4 linked regions of the Arabidopsis thaliana genome follow. The protein of the gene in region 4 interacts with the protein of the main gene of each other region in a pairwise test. Each region holds a gene or a part of one and is shown on either strand. Other genes may lie near its edges.

Evidence for each region.
Region 1: the proteins of AT3G55600 (region 4) and NLM1 interact in a two-hybrid assay, tested with the Arabidopsis thaliana proteins (one large-scale study listed by BioGRID).
Region 2: the proteins of AT3G55600 (region 4) and AT3G10260 interact in a two-hybrid assay, tested with the Arabidopsis thaliana proteins (one large-scale study listed by BioGRID).
Region 3: the proteins of AT3G55600 (region 4) and NTL9 interact in a two-hybrid assay, tested with the Arabidopsis thaliana proteins (one large-scale study listed by BioGRID).

Annotation. Positions count from the first base shown.
Region 1 is NC_003075.7:10,421,007-10,425,535, reverse strand, and holds NLM1 (NOD26-like major intrinsic protein 1), read left to right. Parts: upstream 1-2,027; 5' UTR 2,028-2,126; coding exon 2,127-2,294; intron 2,295-2,406; coding exon 2,407-2,631; intron 2,632-3,055; coding exon 3,056-3,274; coding exon of another isoform or gene 3,275-3,325; exon of another isoform or gene 3,326-3,425; coding exon 3,426-3,487; coding exon of another isoform or gene 3,488-3,491; exon of another isoform or gene 3,492-3,591; coding exon 3,592-3,808; 3' UTR 3,809-4,015; downstream 4,016-4,529. UniProt on the Arabidopsis thaliana protein: Water channel probably required to promote glycerol permeability and water transport across cell membranes.
Region 2 is NC_003074.8:3,170,680-3,174,871, reverse strand, and holds AT3G10260 (Reticulon family protein), read left to right. Parts: upstream 1-1,879; 5' UTR 1,880-2,303; coding exon 2,304-2,544; intron 2,545-2,618; coding exon 2,619-2,799; intron 2,800-2,883; coding exon 2,884-3,025; intron 3,026-3,127; coding exon 3,128-3,197; intron 3,198-3,289; coding exon 3,290-3,459; 3' UTR 3,460-3,650; downstream 3,651-4,192. Other genes in the region: GYRB1 (DNA gyrase subunit B), read left to right, coding at 1-63, 140-256, 346-399, 483-588, 774-904, 999-1,067.
Region 3 is NC_003075.7:16,887,905-16,892,855, reverse strand, and holds NTL9 (NAC transcription factor-like 9), read left to right. Parts: upstream 1-2,054; 5' UTR 2,055-2,111; coding exon 2,112-2,277; intron 2,278-2,395; coding exon 2,396-2,904; intron 2,905-2,980; coding exon 2,981-3,328; intron 3,329-3,480; coding exon 3,481-3,756; intron 3,757-3,850; coding exon 3,851-3,970; intron 3,971-4,136; coding exon 4,137-4,322; 3' UTR 4,323-4,451; downstream 4,452-4,951. Other genes in the region: HMGB5 (high mobility group B5), read left to right, coding at 4,672-4,718, 4,801-4,887. UniProt on the Arabidopsis thaliana protein: Transcriptional activator activated by proteolytic cleavage through regulated intramembrane proteolysis (RIP). Calmodulin-regulated transcriptional repressor. Binds several synthetic promoters with randomly selected binding sites.
Region 4 is NC_003074.8:20,618,449-20,623,093, reverse strand, and holds AT3G55600 (Membrane fusion protein Use1), read right to left. Parts: upstream 2,685-4,645; 5' UTR 2,544-2,684; exon of another isoform or gene 2,428-2,543; 5' UTR 2,413-2,427; coding exon 2,326-2,412; intron 2,247-2,325; coding exon 2,179-2,246; intron 1,975-2,178; coding exon 1,902-1,974; intron 1,657-1,901; coding exon 1,541-1,656; intron 1,456-1,540; coding exon 1,354-1,455; intron 1,194-1,353; coding exon 1,094-1,193; intron 930-1,093; coding exon 753-929; 3' UTR 539-752; downstream 1-538. Other genes in the region: AT3G55605 (Mitochondrial glycoprotein family protein), read right to left, coding at 172-426; AT3G55590 (Glucose-1-phosphate adenylyltransferase family protein), read right to left, coding at 4,213-4,645.

The sequences.
Region 1 (4,529 bases), on a different chromosome or scaffold from region 4:
CAAAAAATTAAAATATATTTTAATTCAATTAATGGTTTTGAATTACAATATCTGCATTTTAAGAAATCACATAAGATTTTTAGATAAAATTCAAAAAACAAATTTAGATATATATTTTTTTGGAATTTCTATTTAAAACCTGGTGAAATTGATAATGTGTTTTAACATTAATACATATACTGATAAACCATTTTAGATGAAGATAATATCTATATAAAATTTTCCTTTGCATTATCTTTGATACGTAAACCAGATATATTGCAATTAAAAATATAAAATTACGGAATAACATTGTAGCGAGAAATTGTGGAGCGTCATAATAAAAAAAGTTACATAGTTTTGGTAGAAATTTTTGACATGTAAGTTGTGAACAGACCCGTTAACAAATTTATGTCTCATTTACTTTATGCACACATACTACTCGTAACACTCTCACATCGTACAAAGATATAGATCTAGCACACGTATAATAGCTTCGGAAGTCATGCTGATGAAATGATGTTGATGATGATGAATATGATGGTGTATGATTATATCATGATGGGTTTGATATCATCGATTATAATAAAGTTATGATGATGTAAAAAAGTTAATGAATTGAATCCGAGTGTCGTGGTGGAAACATTAAGTAGCCCCCATAATTCATCAGTCCATTCAACTCATTTATTTCATCAACTTATTAAAATAATATAAAATGATAGTCAATTCATTGGTTGAGTTAAGTCAATGATCTACTAATTTTGATCGACTTTGATACTCCTACATTTACATCAATGTTTCTTTTTCTTTCTGAAATATTCTTTATTTACCTTCCCTTTGCATATATGTATGTTCTCAATTTCAATTCATATTCACTCCTCCTATTTTTTTGGCACCATACATCATGCACATCTGGATCGATACGTAACATGAAAGTCTTTAAGATTTGTCTTGTCACCATTAACCAGCATACGTGTTTACATGTGGAATTAACATTGCTAATTTACTGATAATTCAAATTGTACATTATAAAGAAACTTCATTTTTTCTCTGGTGGCCCGTGGCCACAACCCTACATTCTAACATCCATTAAAGAGGGTTCGAACTTAACCTAATCTAGAGATGACATTTTGAGTATTGTCGCAAATAAAACATTCTGATCATAATTAACATTTAGTTATATGTTAGTATGGATTCAAACCTGAGGTTGATATGATCGGATCCAAACAGTACACTACATTAAGTTTACGGATCGCAATCAAGATTGTTACGTTGGCATCAAGGTATATATAAAATATCTTGAAATTTTTTAGTAATTTTTATAATGTTGTGTACATATGTACACATGCACAACTATAAGCTAAATAAAGTATGTCCGTATTACCCGCTTGGTAGTTGAAGACTTAAAGAGGCCATCATCAATTCCATCTAGTGACATTTTTCAATTTCTCATAAATGATATAGTTTATTCTATAGTTTGCATGACATAATTTTGTTTTGTTTATATGATACGAACAAATTTGGGTGTAACAACATATGACCGGTGACTTTATATCCGAAATTCAGAATTCGATATGAGATGTTCTAAATGAATACTTATGTGAAATACAAACAACGCATAAAATGACGTATATATACTTATGTGATTATAAATGAATATTTGGAAAGTAGAATAAAAATTTAAAAACAAAAAGTAGATTGCAAGTATGCAACATTTGAATCCTAGGCGCGGATGGTTATGCATGTACGACATGCACGAATGATATAGGCTCTCTGCACAACACACAAGATCAAAACAAACAAATTCTGCATGTAGCATTCTAAAATTTTCGATAAATTTTATATTTGTTGATCTAAGAAAAAATTGTAATCCCTGAAAATTGAATTTGAGACCTGGTATAGAATCTCCACAAACATAGGAATTTATTATTATTAAAAAAGCTTTATTAACAATATATCATCTTCTTCTTTTTTTCAATTAATAAACTGGTAATATTAAAATCGTCAAAGAAGTCTCTCTCTCCCCCATGTTTGCCAATAAATAGGAGATAATCGCTACCAAACTTCTCATTCTCACAAGTCATAAACAGTCGTTTATAGTTCAATCCTTTTCCTCTTCTTTGTTTCTAAAAAGAGAAAAGTCACTTATGGCGGATATCTCGGGAAACGGCTATGGCAACGCCAGAGAAGAAGTAGTAATGGTGAATCTCAAGGATGAAGTCGAACATCAACAAGAAATGGAAGACATTCATAACCCAAGACCCTTGAAGAAACAAGACTCTCTACTCTCAGTCTCTGTCCCTTTCTTACAAAAGGTTTTTACTTTTAACTCTCCATATCCAACATGTTTTACAAGTTATAAATGAAAAGACTCTGTTTTGTACCAATTCACAAGACATCTCGGTTTTATTTACGCTATGTTTTCAGTTGATCGCGGAGTTTCTTGGAACCTACTTTTTGGTATTCACCGGTTGTGCATCGGTGGTTGTAAACATGCAAAACGACAATGTCGTGACTCTTCCAGGGATCGCTATCGTTTGGGGACTCACCATTATGGTCCTCATTTACTCTCTTGGTCACATCTCTGGTGCTCATATCAATCCGGCCGTTACCATTGCCTTCGCCTCTTGTGGCCGTTTCCCTCTCAAACAGGTCCTTAACACATACACAATTACATATAGCCTTTATATAATGATCGATCAAGTTTTGTATTTTATGTGTGTTTTTGAGTTTCATGAACAAACTAATTAAAGAACATTAGTGTATTTTGTTTCCATTGATCTAGTTTAGCTATCGGTTGCTTGTATTGCACACGAGACTTTGGGTTATTCAAATACGTAGCGTTTTTAATGCAACGTTTACTATAGATGAGTGAAGATACGTAAGGACAAATCTACTTTTGCTAGTTTCCAAAATAAATTAAAATGTTATGTAACTTTTGTATGTATATAGTTTTTCCACACGTCCATATTTTGTTATATAAACGTCAAAATATCTTCCAAGATTGGGTCCCTTCCCTAGTTAGTGTGAACTGGTGAATTAATTTATTTTATTTTTGTTCTTTGAATTTTTTTAGGTTCCAGCTTATGTCATATCACAAGTGATAGGATCAACGCTCGCGGCTGCGACATTACGGTTGTTGTTCGGACTTGATCACGACGTTTGTAGCGGAAAACACGATGTGTTTATCGGATCATCACCAGTGGGATCAGATCTTCAGGCGTTTACGATGGAGTTTATCGTCACTTTCTATCTAATGTTCATCATTTCTGGCGTTGCTACCGATAATAGAGCGGTTAGTATTTTCATATCTTCTTATGTTGTCAAATTCGATGGCTTATATTAGTGTTATTAATTACTGCTCCCTCTCAGAAGTTACATTTGTTTTCTGTGGTCTTTAAATTTACGAGAAACTTAACATTGGGACCAAATGCTGCAATATTCAGATCGGAGAACTTGCTGGATTAGCAATAGGATCAACGGTGCTACTTAACGTGCTAATTGCCGCGTAAGTTATCAGTTACCATTTCTATTATTGTGCTTATACTTTTTTTTTTTAGAGTAAGAATTCCAAAAAATGATTTATACGGTTATGTTCATCAATTTTATTAGACCGGTATCGAGTGCGTCGATGAATCCAGGAAGAAGTTTAGGACCTGCACTGGTCTATGGTTGCTACAAAGGAATTTGGATATACTTAGTTGCGCCAACTCTTGGTGCGATTGCGGGTGCATGGGTTTATAACACAGTTAGATATACCGATAAACCATTGCGAGAAATCACTAAAAGTGGTTCATTTCTAAAGACCGTGAGAATCGGTAGCACTTGATAAGAGAAAAGAAAACATGGGTGGAGTTGATGGAGTATTTTCAAATGAATGTAACAACTTTCACCACACCTTACGTATATGGCCTTTGTATTAATTGCTACGTTTATCTCTTTTATTGTTAACGCCAAGATTCTCTATCTTGTTATTAATGTGTAACTGTATCGTATATTTTTTAAATAATAAAATTCAATTCTAGAAAGATCAAACTTTAAAGTTTTAAGCAAAATTGTTGAATATGTAGAATTTGGAATTTGTCAAAGGAAAGCACAAGATCCGGAGTCACAATCATTTGCCTAGTGGGGCAATACTTTTGTCCATAGAACTTAAAAGCCGGGCACGGCACGTGTTGGTTTGACCTGATAGATCAAAACTAAACATCATCCACCACATACCAATCTCTAACGAATGGCACACATCCCAAATCATTCACCTCATATTTTTCTCATGCAACATCAGGAAACTTTTCATTTGTGATGAATAAAGAAGAAAACAATGAGGAAACTTTTCATCCACTAAAATGTGAGAAAGAAGACCAATTATTATTCATCTAATTACCCAACAAAGAATAAATTACATATTAGTTGGCTAAAATAAGATTAATTTTTGAAGAATTTACTAATCGAAAAATCCTAATCAAACCGAAATTTCGATCGAGCATAGTAGACTGAGCTGGCCAGCCGCTATGATGTCACAATTCACTAACACAAGGAAAAACTAAAGA
Region 2 (4,192 bases), about 17 Mb from region 4:
GCAGCAATGTATAAGAACGAAGAAATTCAAAATCTTATTCTTGGCCTTGGTCTTGGAGTTAAGGTAATATATCCTTTTTCATATCCTGCTGTTTGTTGGTATGTTCGGAAAACTCAGTTTGACATAAAACTTATTTCAGGGAGAAGATTTTAACAAGGAGAATCTGCGTTACCATAAAATTATCATCTTAACAGATGCAGATGTTGATGGTGCACATATCCGGACACTTCTGTTGACCTTTTTCTTCAGATATCAGGTACTAGTTTAGTTTGATAAAACATTAGTTGAAGTAGCCTTGATTGCTGATTGAGTTATGTGAAATTTAATGAAATTTACTTTCTACAGAGAGCCTTGTTTGACGCGGGTTGCATATACGTTGGTGTTCCACCTCTTTTCAAGGTAAGCTCTTAGTATCTATAATCTTATGCTTCAGATTGAACGGAATTTTTTTCTAAAGCTAGTCTCTCTGTGAAAACGATCAGGTTGAGAGGGGGAAACAGGCGCACTACTGCTACGATGATGCAGCTCTTAAAAAAATCACTGCTTCGTTCCCTGGAAACGCATCCTACAACATTCAGAGGTTCAAAGGTAAAACATCCTACTTCTCACATCATGAATGTGTTCTTTTGGAAAGGATAAATAACTATGAAAAGTAATGTATAGTAGTTGTTATGTGTTAGCTATTAAGATACTCTTGAGTGTGTGCATAACGAAATCTAGATTAGTCTCAACTATTGGATTCTATGTAATGTTTCTTGCTTTTGCATCTGCAGGTTTGGGTGAGATGATGCCTGCGCAGCTATGGGAAACAACGATGAATCCAGATACAAGGATATTGAAGCAACTAGTTGTTGACGACGCAGCAGAAACGAATATGGTCTTCTCATCTCTGATGGGTGCTCGGGTAAGCCAATGAATTGCCAGACTCGGACTCATGATAATAGTCAATAAACTGGCATAACTCATCGTGACAATGTTATGTTCTGTGTATGTTTCAGGTCGATGTCAGGAAGGAACTCATCAAAAGTGCTGCGACTAGGATGAATCTGGAGAATCTCGACATATAACACAGCTTATAGTTATTGCTTCAGCTATATACAAACAACAAAGAAACGACTCTGGTGAAATGCAAAGGGAGACATCATCATTTCAAGGTTAAATCATATAGTCACAGGCCAACAGGATTTTGTTCTTCTTCTGGCCTATAAAGGACAAAATTCATTGTTAGGATTATCTCTTTCAATGTCAAAATTTAGCAATTCACAAGGCTCTTTGTTGGGCGTTTCTTTCCATTGGAACTAGAATTTTTCTAGAGACAAGAGAAATTTGCATTCACTAGGTATTTACTATATATTATGACTTCAACAATTTGGCATTCCTGAAAATCATGCATGCGACGAAGTTAAAACTAATGATTAGAAGGAAGATGAGAAGGTAACTATTGTGCAATGAATATCTTCTCTGCCTGTTGTATTGATTTTAATTGTATTCGAGGTTAAGTTTTGACTGATGTTTTACTAGCGATCGCAGAGTGATCGATAATTAACAAGTTTATTTTTCGATTTGGTAGGTATATAGTGAATTAAACATGATTTTTGTTCTTCCTGAACAACCTAAAGCAGTGTTATGAACGCATCACGCATGTAACAACCAGTCAACCATATTAGTGTGACTTTAATTCATTGAATAAATGAAATTTTTTTATTTTCAACAAGGCTTGTAACGGTTGATAAATCTACTCAGAAAACTTCTTTTTGTTTGTCTTGCAAATACAAACGATACGTTTCAACTCTTTTTTTGGCGTCCAATAATACTTCTTAAAAAATAATTTGTTTATTGTCATGAGCTACACGTGGGAAGACAAGTCCTATCCATTATTACTACACACTACTCCAACATTTGCCCACATTTTGAAAAAAACATTTTTTTGTAATTCAATTATTCGACACAACCAATCCCATCTCTTGTTTCACTTCCGCCCTCCATCTTTCTTCGTGATTGAGAGAATCTTCAACGAAAGAAAGCAACTTTTTTTGGGTGAAATTCACAGAACAACCAAGGTTTTTCTTCTTCTTCTTCTTCTCCAGTTCCTACAGGTTTACTCTTACTCATCTTCATCTTTGTCTCGTTCTTGCTCTTCAATTTCTGGTCTTTTTGTTGTTCTTGTCTTCTCGCCAAATATACTAAGATCTAAGTTTTATATCATTGTAATTATCACCAACGAACTGTTAAGACCAAATTTGATTACTCGAAATGGTTTTGGGTTTAGGGTATGAAGAACTGATCAAAAGATTCAATTTTTTATGAAGTCAACTTTCATCTGCAAATTGAGCAATCTCAGATTTCGATTGTGTTTCAGAATCATGCCTGACAAGAACATCGTAGAGGACGTTATCGGTGATTTGGTGGATAACTTCACGGAGACTGTTCAGAAGAACAAACATGGTTCCTCCTTCTTCGAACAAGAAGATTCCGTCAGTTCTCGTTTCAACCGTTTGTTTGATCGCCAGAAGCCAATTCATCATGTCTTAGGCGGTGGCAAATGTAAGAATTCGTATACAGGAACATAAATATGAGATTGGTTTTTCTTGTAATTGAGTATTGAGAGATTCCTTCAGCTGCTGATGTGTTGTTATGGAGGAACAAGAAGATCTCTGCAAGTGTTTTGATGGGAGCTACCGCAATTTGGGTGCTTTTTGAATGGATCAATTTCCATTTCCTGTCTCTCGTTTGCTATGCCCTCTTGCTTGGTATGATTGCACAATTCGTTTGGTCTAACGCCTCTGGATTCTTAAACCGGTAACTTGTTGGAGTGTTGTTGTCATTATTATTGGTACCTTGTGATTGCAATCTAACACAATGTCCTTTAATGTCTCAAAGCAGCTCACAGTCTAGAGTGCCTCGCCTAGTTCTTCCAAAGGATTTCTTTGCTGAAGTCGGTGTGGCCGTTGGAAAAGAAGTTAACCGCGGTTTGTTGTTTCTTCAGGACTTGGCTTGTAAAGGGAATTTGAAACAGTTCCTCATGGTGCGTTGTTTGTTTCAATAACCACAATCTTGTTTGTATAATGTATTAGCACTTTCATTACTATGCTAAGATAGAAACTTTGATCACAATATCATTTTTCAGGCTGTAATCGGACTATGGGTAGCTGCAATGGTCGGGAGCTGTTGCAATTTCCTAACTGTTTTGTATATCGGTGAGTGGTTCTTATTAGTGTATCCTCTTTTGAGATTGGAAGTTGAGTAATACAAGACTTTAAAGGGATGCATTTTATGTGTGTGTGTGAAGGGTTTGTTGGGGCACACACAATGCCGGTTCTGTATGAGAGATACGAAGACGAAGTGGATGGTTTTATGGATTCTATGATCATGAAGTTTCATAGTCATTACAAGAAGCTTGATACTGGGTTTCTCAGTAGAATCCCAAGTGGAAAGTTTGGATTAAAGAAGCGTGAGTGACTAAATCACTCAAGCATTTTCTTATTTTACCTTGTTTGTTGTTAGAACAATATGGATTATGGTTTGCTAAATGAATGTTTTGAGAATATTATTCATTCATGTAGATTTTGTGTATTTCCTTACTAAACAATACCTTGTCCATGTATTTGTCAATACCTTGGTTAATAAGAGAATCATCATATCTGTCAAAATTATACAAGTAGATTGAGAGTTCATTAACTCAATGTCTAAAAATGTAAGACTTAAAACAAGTTTGAATCAAAATTATTTCACAAATCAAAAGTATGGTTTTCTTATTTCGTAAGAATCGTTGACTAATATTGACCGGCTGGCTAATAAGAAGATCAGATAACTCTACAGGTATGGGATCCACCATTGTCAAACATTTTACACGTGTCAGCTTCCTGAGCTTCGAAGCCTGAATGTTAAAATTAAAAAATTTAAAAGAAAGAAATATAAAAAGAAGTAAATCAAAGAAAATGGAGTAAAGAAATTGATCCACGATCGATCAACAAAGTGAGGTTAGGTTCCATCTCCACCTCTTTCTCTCTCGAATCTTCTCCGATTAAAGGTGCTCTTTTGCTTATGAAATTTGTGTTTCTTAAGCTAATCGAATTTGTTTTCTTGATCGTTTTGATGTTCTTTTTTTTTTTTGTTATTGTTGTTGATTTGATGTGATCCGGTTGTATTTGAAGACGAAATCGATTCGAAGTGTTGAGGTTTAGTTTGGGGT
Region 3 (4,951 bases), on a different chromosome or scaffold from region 4:
CGTGCGAGGGTAGTTATGTAAAATTAACAGTGGGAAGCGGGTTGCACCGAACCAAGCCCATGTAGCTAAACACTCACACGCGCGACGCATGTCTGAAAAGTGGTAATTGAATTTTGTTTAGAATGATTCTACAGAGGTTGAATTTGGTAAATGAATCAGAGGAATATTAAGCATTTGAGCATAATTTCCAATTTGGTCAGATTATGATATATGTAAATATGTCCATGATTCATTTTCTGTTTTTGGGTTCTCTTTGTTCATTTATTAAGTCATGGGCTGAAGTTTTCATATTTTAAGTCATGGGCTGAGTTCTCAAGGACTAAAACTGGTATTGATATTATGATCTGTTAAAAGCCAATTCATTTAAGGTGTTCAAAATCTAAACTGAATAATTGCGTTAAATTAAGCCGGACATGTTTCAATCAAAAGTCAATAGAATGTGTCAAAATACTCTGGGTACTTGGGTAGTATTAGTAACATTAACTTACAAGGATTTTTCTCTATATAAAAATACAGAGTACTAGTTTTGATTTTATCTGAGTGAGAACTTTCTAATAAAACTCTAATCGAAAACAATTAATATTTTGTATAAAATGGAGTGTAGAACCTAAATATTTTGTATTGCTTGGATATATAGTTTTTTTTCTTCTTAACATGGATATATAAGTTCTATTTCGTACATATTTCCCCTAATTTTAATGTTGAATTTTGGAAAACTTTTGTTGGATAGTGACATGAAGACCCTAATTTTAATCATAACATTTTGGAAAACTTGATTGGGTGAGTGATATGGAGGTGATGTTAACGTATGTTTGGTATCAATAGTTGGTCCAATTAGGCCCAAAGAGTCAAAAAAGGTGCCCAAGTGTTGTCAAAAGAGAAAACAATTAAGAATAGGGCAAAGCTTGGCCAGCAAGATTTAGTGGTCATTTCCTAGAAACGTGTCCAAGAATTTATAAAGATGGGTTGTCTTATAAATACATATCGTTCACGTAATTACCTGAGATCAAATCTTAATCATATCATTCATCGTATATAGACTCCAAACACGTTTTTCAAACTCCTATGATCATGTGTTCTCTCTTTGCCTCCGTCTTTGATTGCTTTGTTCCAAAATCAGACTCAAAGATTAGCTCAACTGATGAGAGTGACTTGAAAGTCCTGTCCTCAAAGAAACCAAAAAGCAAATCCCCGAGAGCTCCGATTATGGTGTCTTACTTTCCCGCCGGTTCAAACCTTTCGCGTCTATAAGTGCCAAATAGAAGAGAAGAGAAGATGAAGTATTGGGATGTTGATTTTGATATAAACGAAAGAAGTTTTTGGTTGTAGACATGTTGTATGCGCAGGCTTTAATTTTATGTTTTATTTAATTATGTACAAATAGACCATTTAGATTGATAGCATCATATATATGCTTTGTATTTAAGACCAAATAAAAGATTAATGTTTATATACATGCGTAAAAATGTTAAGAGCTTAGTTAGTATCATTTTCAAAAACTGATTGTCACTTGAGCTTTTATTTTTCTTATTTTTTTAATTAAGAAAAGTTGTGGCCCTCAAAAAGTTACATGGAATCGGAACAGGAAAAAAAAAATGTCGAAAACTGATTAATCTAGGCAACGTTATCGCATTTTCATATCTTACAAATCCCTTTTTCAATTCAGATTTGGTAGAAATGCAAGGAGAGTTCCATAGTGTATATGTAAAATTTGTATAAAACGTCTAGAAGAATTACAATGCTGAATTTGTTGGAAGCTCTGTTTTTCTCTGCTTAGACGTTTCCAACGTGTTTTGGGTTTCTCTGATCACTGTAAAGCCTAAACCACAAGAGAAGAAAAACCACGAAGCTTTGGGCTTTAAGGCCTTTTTGGGCCCTAGCCACAATAATGGAAGCCTATCAAGAAAAGACAAGACAAGACAATAAGACAGAAGAGGACAAGTGTTTAAAGTGGAAGTTATCTTTCTCACGTGGTCTAAAGAAAGGTTAAAAAAAAAGAGGGAAAAAAAAAAGAAGATGAGAGAAAGCAAAGTGTTGAAGACTTTTTAGAAAGCAGAAAAAAAAGCAGAGAGTGTATTCAAAGTCGGAAAGAAACCCTAAAGAAGAGGATTATGGGTGCTGTATCGATGGAGTCGCTTCCTTTAGGTTTCAGATTCAGACCTACCGATGAAGAGCTCGTCAATCACTACCTCCGTCTCAAGATCAACGGACGTCACTCCGATGTCCGTGTCATCCCTGATATCGATGTCTGCAAATGGGAACCTTGGGATCTTCCTGGTTCGTCTCTTTATTCTCTCAAAATTTGATTCCTTTTATTCTCAGATTCTGTTTTCCCTCTCAAAGATTCCACCTTTTTTTTCTTTACTCAATTGGAAACAAATCTGATTGTCGGCAGCTCTCTCGGTGATTAAGACGGATGATCCAGAGTGGTTCTTTTTCTGCCCTCGTGATCGGAAATACCCTAATGGTCATCGCTCTAACAGAGCAACTGACTCTGGCTATTGGAAAGCTACTGGTAAAGATCGTAGCATCAAGTCTAAGAAGACTTTAATCGGTATGAAGAAGACTCTTGTCTTCTATCGTGGACGAGCTCCTAAAGGTGAGCGGACTAATTGGATTATGCACGAGTATCGTCCCACTCTTAAGGATCTTGATGGCACTTCCCCTGGCCAAAGCCCTTACGTTCTTTGTCGCCTCTTCCACAAGCCTGATGATCGGGTTAATGGTGTCAAGTCCGATGAAGCAGCTTTTACGGCCAGCAACAAATACTCACCTGATGATACATCATCTGATCTTGTTCAAGAAACACCTTCCTCTGATGCTGCTGTTGAGAAACCATCAGATTATTCAGGTGGATGCGGTTATGCTCATAGTAATAGTACCGCAGATGGGACAATGATTGAGGTATGAATGGAAACTCTTGAATAATTAATTAGGCTTTTTTGAGTGACTTGACTAATTTTGAGTTTTGTGTTCATAGGCACCTGAAGAGAATCTTTGGTTATCTTGTGACCTTGAAGATCAAAAGGCACCACTACCGTGTATGGATTCTATATATGCTGGTGATTTCAGTTACGATGAGATTGGATTCCAATTTCAAGATGGTACCAGCGAACCAGATGTATCACTAACAGAATTGTTGGAGGAGGTGTTCAATAACCCTGATGACTTCTCTTGCGAGGAATCGATCAGTCGAGAGAATCCAGCAGTCTCACCAAATGGGATATTTTCATCTGCTAAAATGCTGCAGTCTGCAGCACCAGAGGATGCTTTCTTCAACGACTTCATGGCTTTCACTGATACAGATGCTGAGATGGCGCAATTGCAGGTGAGCACAAAGATACATATTTTGAGGCCTATACAATTTTAGAAGTATCCAAATTATTTTGCTTTAAGTAGGCTAGAAACCTCTAGATCAGTTATCTTTACAATCACTCTTGACATAAGTAAAATGACAATTTTTATCTTTTGTTTGATCAGTATGGTTCAGAAGGTGGAGCTTCTGGTTGGCCAAGTGACACTAATTCATACTATAGTGATTTGGTTCAGCAAGAGCAAATGATCAATCATAACACAGAGAACAACCTCACAGAAGGGAGAGGGATAAAGATCCGGGCTCGACAGCCTCAGAACCGGCAGAGTACAGGATTGATAAACCAGGGTATTGCTCCAAGGAGAATCCGTCTGCAGCTGCAGTCTAACTCTGAAGTAAAAGAACGAGAGGAGGTGAATGAAGGACACACTGTTATTCCCGAGGTACGAGACTAGTGATTCCAAAAGTTGTGTCTTAGACATCAATAACATAAAGGATGCATCTTTTTAATTTGTTGTTAATGGTGGGGATGTGCAGGCCAAAGAAGCTGCAGCTAAATACTCAGAGAAGAGTGGTTCTTTGGTTAAACCTCAAATAAAGCTCAGGGCGCGGGGAACTATAGGCCAAGTAAAAGGAGAGAGATTTGCAGACGACGAGGTAAGAATGAGTGAACTTGTTTACACATGAATGAAGAAAGAGTATAGTAGTAAGCTCTACTAAATACTATAGAATTAGAAAGAAAAAAAAGAGAAAGCAATCAGTAGAGCATGTGAGATCAGCTAGTAATGATAAAAGAAACTGAGAAGTATCTTTGTCTAAAGAGAAGTTTGTTGTGGTTACAGGTACAGGTGCAGAGCAGAAAGAGACGAGGAGGGAAGCGATGGAAGGTGGTTGCAACGGTAATGGTGGCTGTGATGGTTGGGGTAGGGATGGGTATATGGAGGACACTGGTGAGTTCATGACACATGAGACACAAAGAGAGAGAGAGAGAGAATCAAATGTAGTTTAATGTAATTAGGGATGATGCAATGTTAGCATGTTTGTGTGTTGTAACTTAAAAACTTATTTAGGAATCTGATAAAAGTTACTGTTGAATTTACACGGATGGTCAAGATTAAATGTACCAACATCTTAATTATCTACGGTCAAGATTAAAAATACCAACATCTTAAATTAACACCGCATCAAAGAATTATCTCAATCGTCGTCTCTCCCCAATTCAAAAAAAGAAATAACCTAAACGTGTTCACACAGAGGTAAGCTCGCTCCTACTCGCCGCCTCATCTGAGTCAACTCCGAGTCAGCTATTTTTCCCCACCGGATTCTCACTTTTGTTCCTCTCTGTGACAGATCTCGAGATGAAAGATAACCAAACGGAAGTTGAATCGAGGAGCACTGATGATAGGTATCTTTATATTTATCCGTAATCTCGATTCTTAGATTCAATTTGTTTCCGTAGTTTTGAAATCGTCTTTTATGATTCTCAGATTGAAAGTTAGAGGGAACAAAGTTGGAAAGAAAACAAAGGATCCAAACAGGCCTAAGAAACCACCAAGTCCTTTCTTCGTCTTCCTGTAAATAAAAATCACTAATCTCTCTTCTTCTTTTTTCTTCACTAATTTGATTACAGTAATTAAT
Region 4 (4,645 bases):
CAACCATGAGTTCCCACTAAAGCTTATGGCTTCCACAGAGTAAGCAAACTCACAGATTCAGTCCAATTTTCAACACTGCTTCTACAATTCTCTATCAAAAACCAAGAAAAAAACAAATCCCACAGATTCGTTTATTTTCCCAGGAATCAAGTGATAAAGATCAGTTATTACCGCATCGTGATCATCTGCTTCGAAAGAATCCTTGATCTCAGAGTCAATCACTTGTATAAGCGTCTGATCGGACTTTAACGGCTCAGTGGCCGTCGAATAAGGAAAGCCACGAGAGACGAAGGGCCGAAGCAGAGATGGCTTGGGAACAAGAGACGAGCGATTAACGATAGCGGAGACGGCTTGAGCTCGAGCCACACGACCACACACGGAAGCTAAAGTAGAAGCTGATCTACGAATGCACAAAGCGAAACCCATGGCGATTAAAAGAAAATGGATTCTCTCAGTCTCTGGGTTTTGGCCTTTCCTTAGGGTTTTAACTTTTAAGTGTACGAAGAAGACAAACTATACTAACCAAATCATACCGGTCTTCAAACCAAACCGGTTAAATTACAATTCTTCATTTCTCAATTCCTCTTCACAAACAAATTGTACTGATTTCTGGCATATCTTTTAGAAGTATAGTTTCACATATCAAAAACTCAGAATTTACAAAAGTCAAAAGAACTTTCACAAACTGTATGATAAAGAGACTGAAATGTTTTTTGGATTTCACTAATTTGGTATTACAATCTGAACAATTTCTATGTGACCCGGATCAACAGAACAACCATTATGAACACACAGATCATGGCGAAGATCAAGAGCCACTGGAAGCAACTTGTCTTTGAGCTTTGTGAATATATCTTTGTCGCTCTTGTTGTCGCGTGTCCTGTGCTCGCTAGGCTTTGCTCAATGGCCTCCTCGGTAGAGTCAAGTATCTTTTGTTAATGAATCCACAAGAAAAGAAAGAAAGAAAAATGTTAGGAGCAATGAAGCCGGTTAAAAGGATATATGAACCAATATAGATTCTTCTCTTGTTACATAGTTGTTGATTAAAAAAGTAAGAATAATTGGTTTTGTGAGGAAATGGTTAGCATCTCACCTTTTCTGTATTTTGCACAGATTGACTAATCGCTTGACTTCTCTCCTTGAGTTGTCTTGCAAGTACCACCATTTCATCGGTTAGATCCTCTTGAAGCTTTCTGTCATCAAATGAATCACCAACTTGGCATGAAGTGGCAAAATTGAACTTATATTAAAATCAATAAAGCTCTACTCTTTGCGATAAATTTTTCTCTCTACTAACGAAAGTGCATAGATAGAAATGAGTTCCTAGTTCTTCTTGGTGATCAATGCATCTACCTGTGCTTGTCAATGTGCGCTTGAGCTGCGGTGTCTAGTTTTATTGGTTTTGATGAATCAGCATCAGCAGCATCAAAGCTTTGCTCCTTGGAACTTGCAGGGCTAACTCAATCAAGGAAGTTGATAAGTACTAAAAGAAAGAATTTACTACAACTTGAGAAGGATGTGAATCTAGTATTCCACGTACACGATTCTTCTTCTCAGCTGTGGCGAAGTGGGGCTTCGAGGCTCATCTTCTATTTTTGGTGAGCTTCCACTAGTCGAATCTTTTGCAAAGGGTTCATCAGATACCTCTGTCTCAGGCTGTAAATTTAGCAAAAATCAAAAATTTGGTATAAGTTACAGAAGTAAAACTTGAAAATTCTTGCAGCTAAACAATGGTTCTACGCAGGAACCAACCAAAATGTGCGTTCCTGAAACTAATTCCTGAGACCAATACATCTAGTAAAAATTGGGGAAGTAACTAACAAAGTATCATATCAACAAGAGCCTAATGTCCTAGCTAGACAAGTGAAAAGAAGTGTCCCTTTCTAGTTCAGGTGACTTACCTCTTGAGAAGCTATCTTGGAAGCAACAGCTTCAATCTTCTCATAGTACTCATTAACCTTAGCCTTTGTAACTCTGGACAAAGAGATCAAAGGAGAAAATAAGCACATTCTCATAATGGTTGCAAGGGTATTTCACCAAAAAACATGTACTTTTAGAACAACAACTATAATACGAAGCAATCCAGTTCAAATCTCTAACCCTTGATCCTAGAAAGAGACACCAAAAAGCAGGAATCTTTTTAATGGCAATGGTGAATCAACAAGAGAGTAAGTAAACCTGGGAAGGCCTTCAGGGGTTTTTTCTTCGGAGAGTTGTTCTAATTGTTCCCTCAATGTAGCAACATACTGCAGATTTTTTGTTTCATACATCAACATAAACACGAGACTAATAGTTTACATATAATGAAGATCAAAAGAAACGTACATGCATAAGCTTCGACTGATTTTGCTGGTTAGGTGCAGCGGAAAGCAATCTCCGCAAATTGATCTCCGTTTTGCTTATTCCCATCATCAGTAAATCTGACAACTAGAGAATGAAACAACATTCAGATCAAAGCACACAGACCAGTAACAGAAATCAATCCAAAACCCAATTCACGATTTTGAATCCAAATTGAATATCTGGATCTCACGAAAACAGACCTTGTTTAGATAGGAGAGGAGAGGAAACAAAATCAAATTCCGCCACTTTCTCAACACCTTCCGTTGTCAGGAGAAGCCGTCGTAAAAAAAAATCTTCACCGGAAAGTCATTATTTTTTCTCGAGAAATTATTCGGTTATTGGCTTTGGTTTGCGTTTGATGAACTAAACCGATGGTTTAATAATTAACAACCGAATTCGTAGCAAATTAGATTTACCTCTTAATGGGCTAGGCTGGGCTTTAAATGTTTACTGTGCTTAAATGTAAAACATTGATAGGCCTCTTACTTCTAAATCTAATTTTCTGTTTTCTCGATCTCCGTCGAAACCACCATGCCCAGAGATCTCGATCTCTGTGATTTGTAGGTTATCATGGTGAGGTGTCAATCACTGCTTATGGTGAGAAGAAACCTGACAGTCTGGATGATGTAATCGACTTCGAACCCAAAAGTGATTGTCCTTTACTTAAACCCTAGTTCTTTTTTATTACATATTATATATATATATATATATATATATGTATGTGCAGTGCAATTTTACATGTTAGTTGATAACTGATATATACATTTTTTTAGGGGGTAAGAGTGAGAGACTAAACAAGATGTTAGTGGAAATTGCATTTTGGTCAGTGGAAAATCCTGCTCCCCATTATACATCTACAAATCTGATGGTAATCGCCAAAAGCATCCCAGGAGAGACCAAGTTCGAAGAACATCTTAGTTTGTTGGATGTTTATGAGTTACAATGTTATCTTAGTTGTGGCTAATGACTGGTCACCAGAAGCGCCGCAAATTCCGTATGTAAACACTGTATGGTTTTGGGAAAGCCTATTGGATCCAATTACGTAGCCTAATATCTCGTGTCAAACAAGAGACTTTCAGATCCGAAGAAGATGACGAGGGCGACGATACTCCTTGTCCATATTGTGGAGAAGGGTGCCCAGGGCTCCTCCCACTGCTTGGGAGCTTACCGCGGGGAAGGCTATGCTAGGGCGTGTGGTTTTCACTTTTATAATCTCTTCTGTCCAAAAGACTTTGGTTTTTGTTCTCTTAAACTCTGTTTAGTGTTTTGCTGTTTTAATCCCTTTCCCATCAATGCCCTAGGTTTTATAATCTCTGCTAATGATTTCTCATTTCCTAGTATTTGTATGATTAATTGAAAGATTAAATCGTACGTCTGCTCTGTGGATCATTTTGAACAAAAGTTTTATCTGCTCGCTGAGACTGATATCTCTTTTACTTCTTAAGTAATCCAAATCGCATGATACATTGATTTGCTACATCCTGACCTTCAATTGTCAGCAATGTACCTAAGAAAAATTCAGAATCACGACCAAGGCCATGGCACGTACAAAAAGGAGGAACAAGATCACGACCTCTTCTCATGATTTCACTTAGATCAAACATCTTTTAACTCAAGAGACACACATAAATTAATTAGATCTAACTTCAAACAACATATATTCCCAGCATCATATGTCAAGATTGACACATCACTAATATAACCTTCAATCTCAAGAGCGTCTTTGATATTCTTAGGAAACTTGTCGAAAGGCTTACTAGGAGCTAGACTCTTATAAAACATTGAAAATTTTACTTTTTCATGACTTTAAATTAGAAATCGTATTCGCACAAAAAAATGAAAAATACGGACAAATCAACCAAATTGTCATCACATCACTATATCTGGTTTCAAGATGTCTGATTTGATCTCTTTGTTATGCAACACAACCCCTCCATTACAATATATCTCATCGCACACGTAAACATTTTTCCCAAGTATGGACATGTTCTCGACCCGAGCCCATTGTCCGACCGTCGAGTGCCACCCAATGATACTACTCGAGATACACGCATATCTCTTCACGTGTACCCCACGCATTACCGTGCAGTGCGATAGTCTAACCCCGGACTCAACAACACAGCCAGGGCCTATAGCAACGTTAGGGCCAATCAAACATCCTTCACCAATCTCTGCGGTTTCATCCACAAGAACATTTCCCAAAATGTGTGGACCAGTGGCTAACTTTGAAGGAGATTTCTTCCTCAGAGAGTCTAAGTAAAGTCTTAGACCAGTAATGTAGTCTCGTGGTTGACCAATGTCC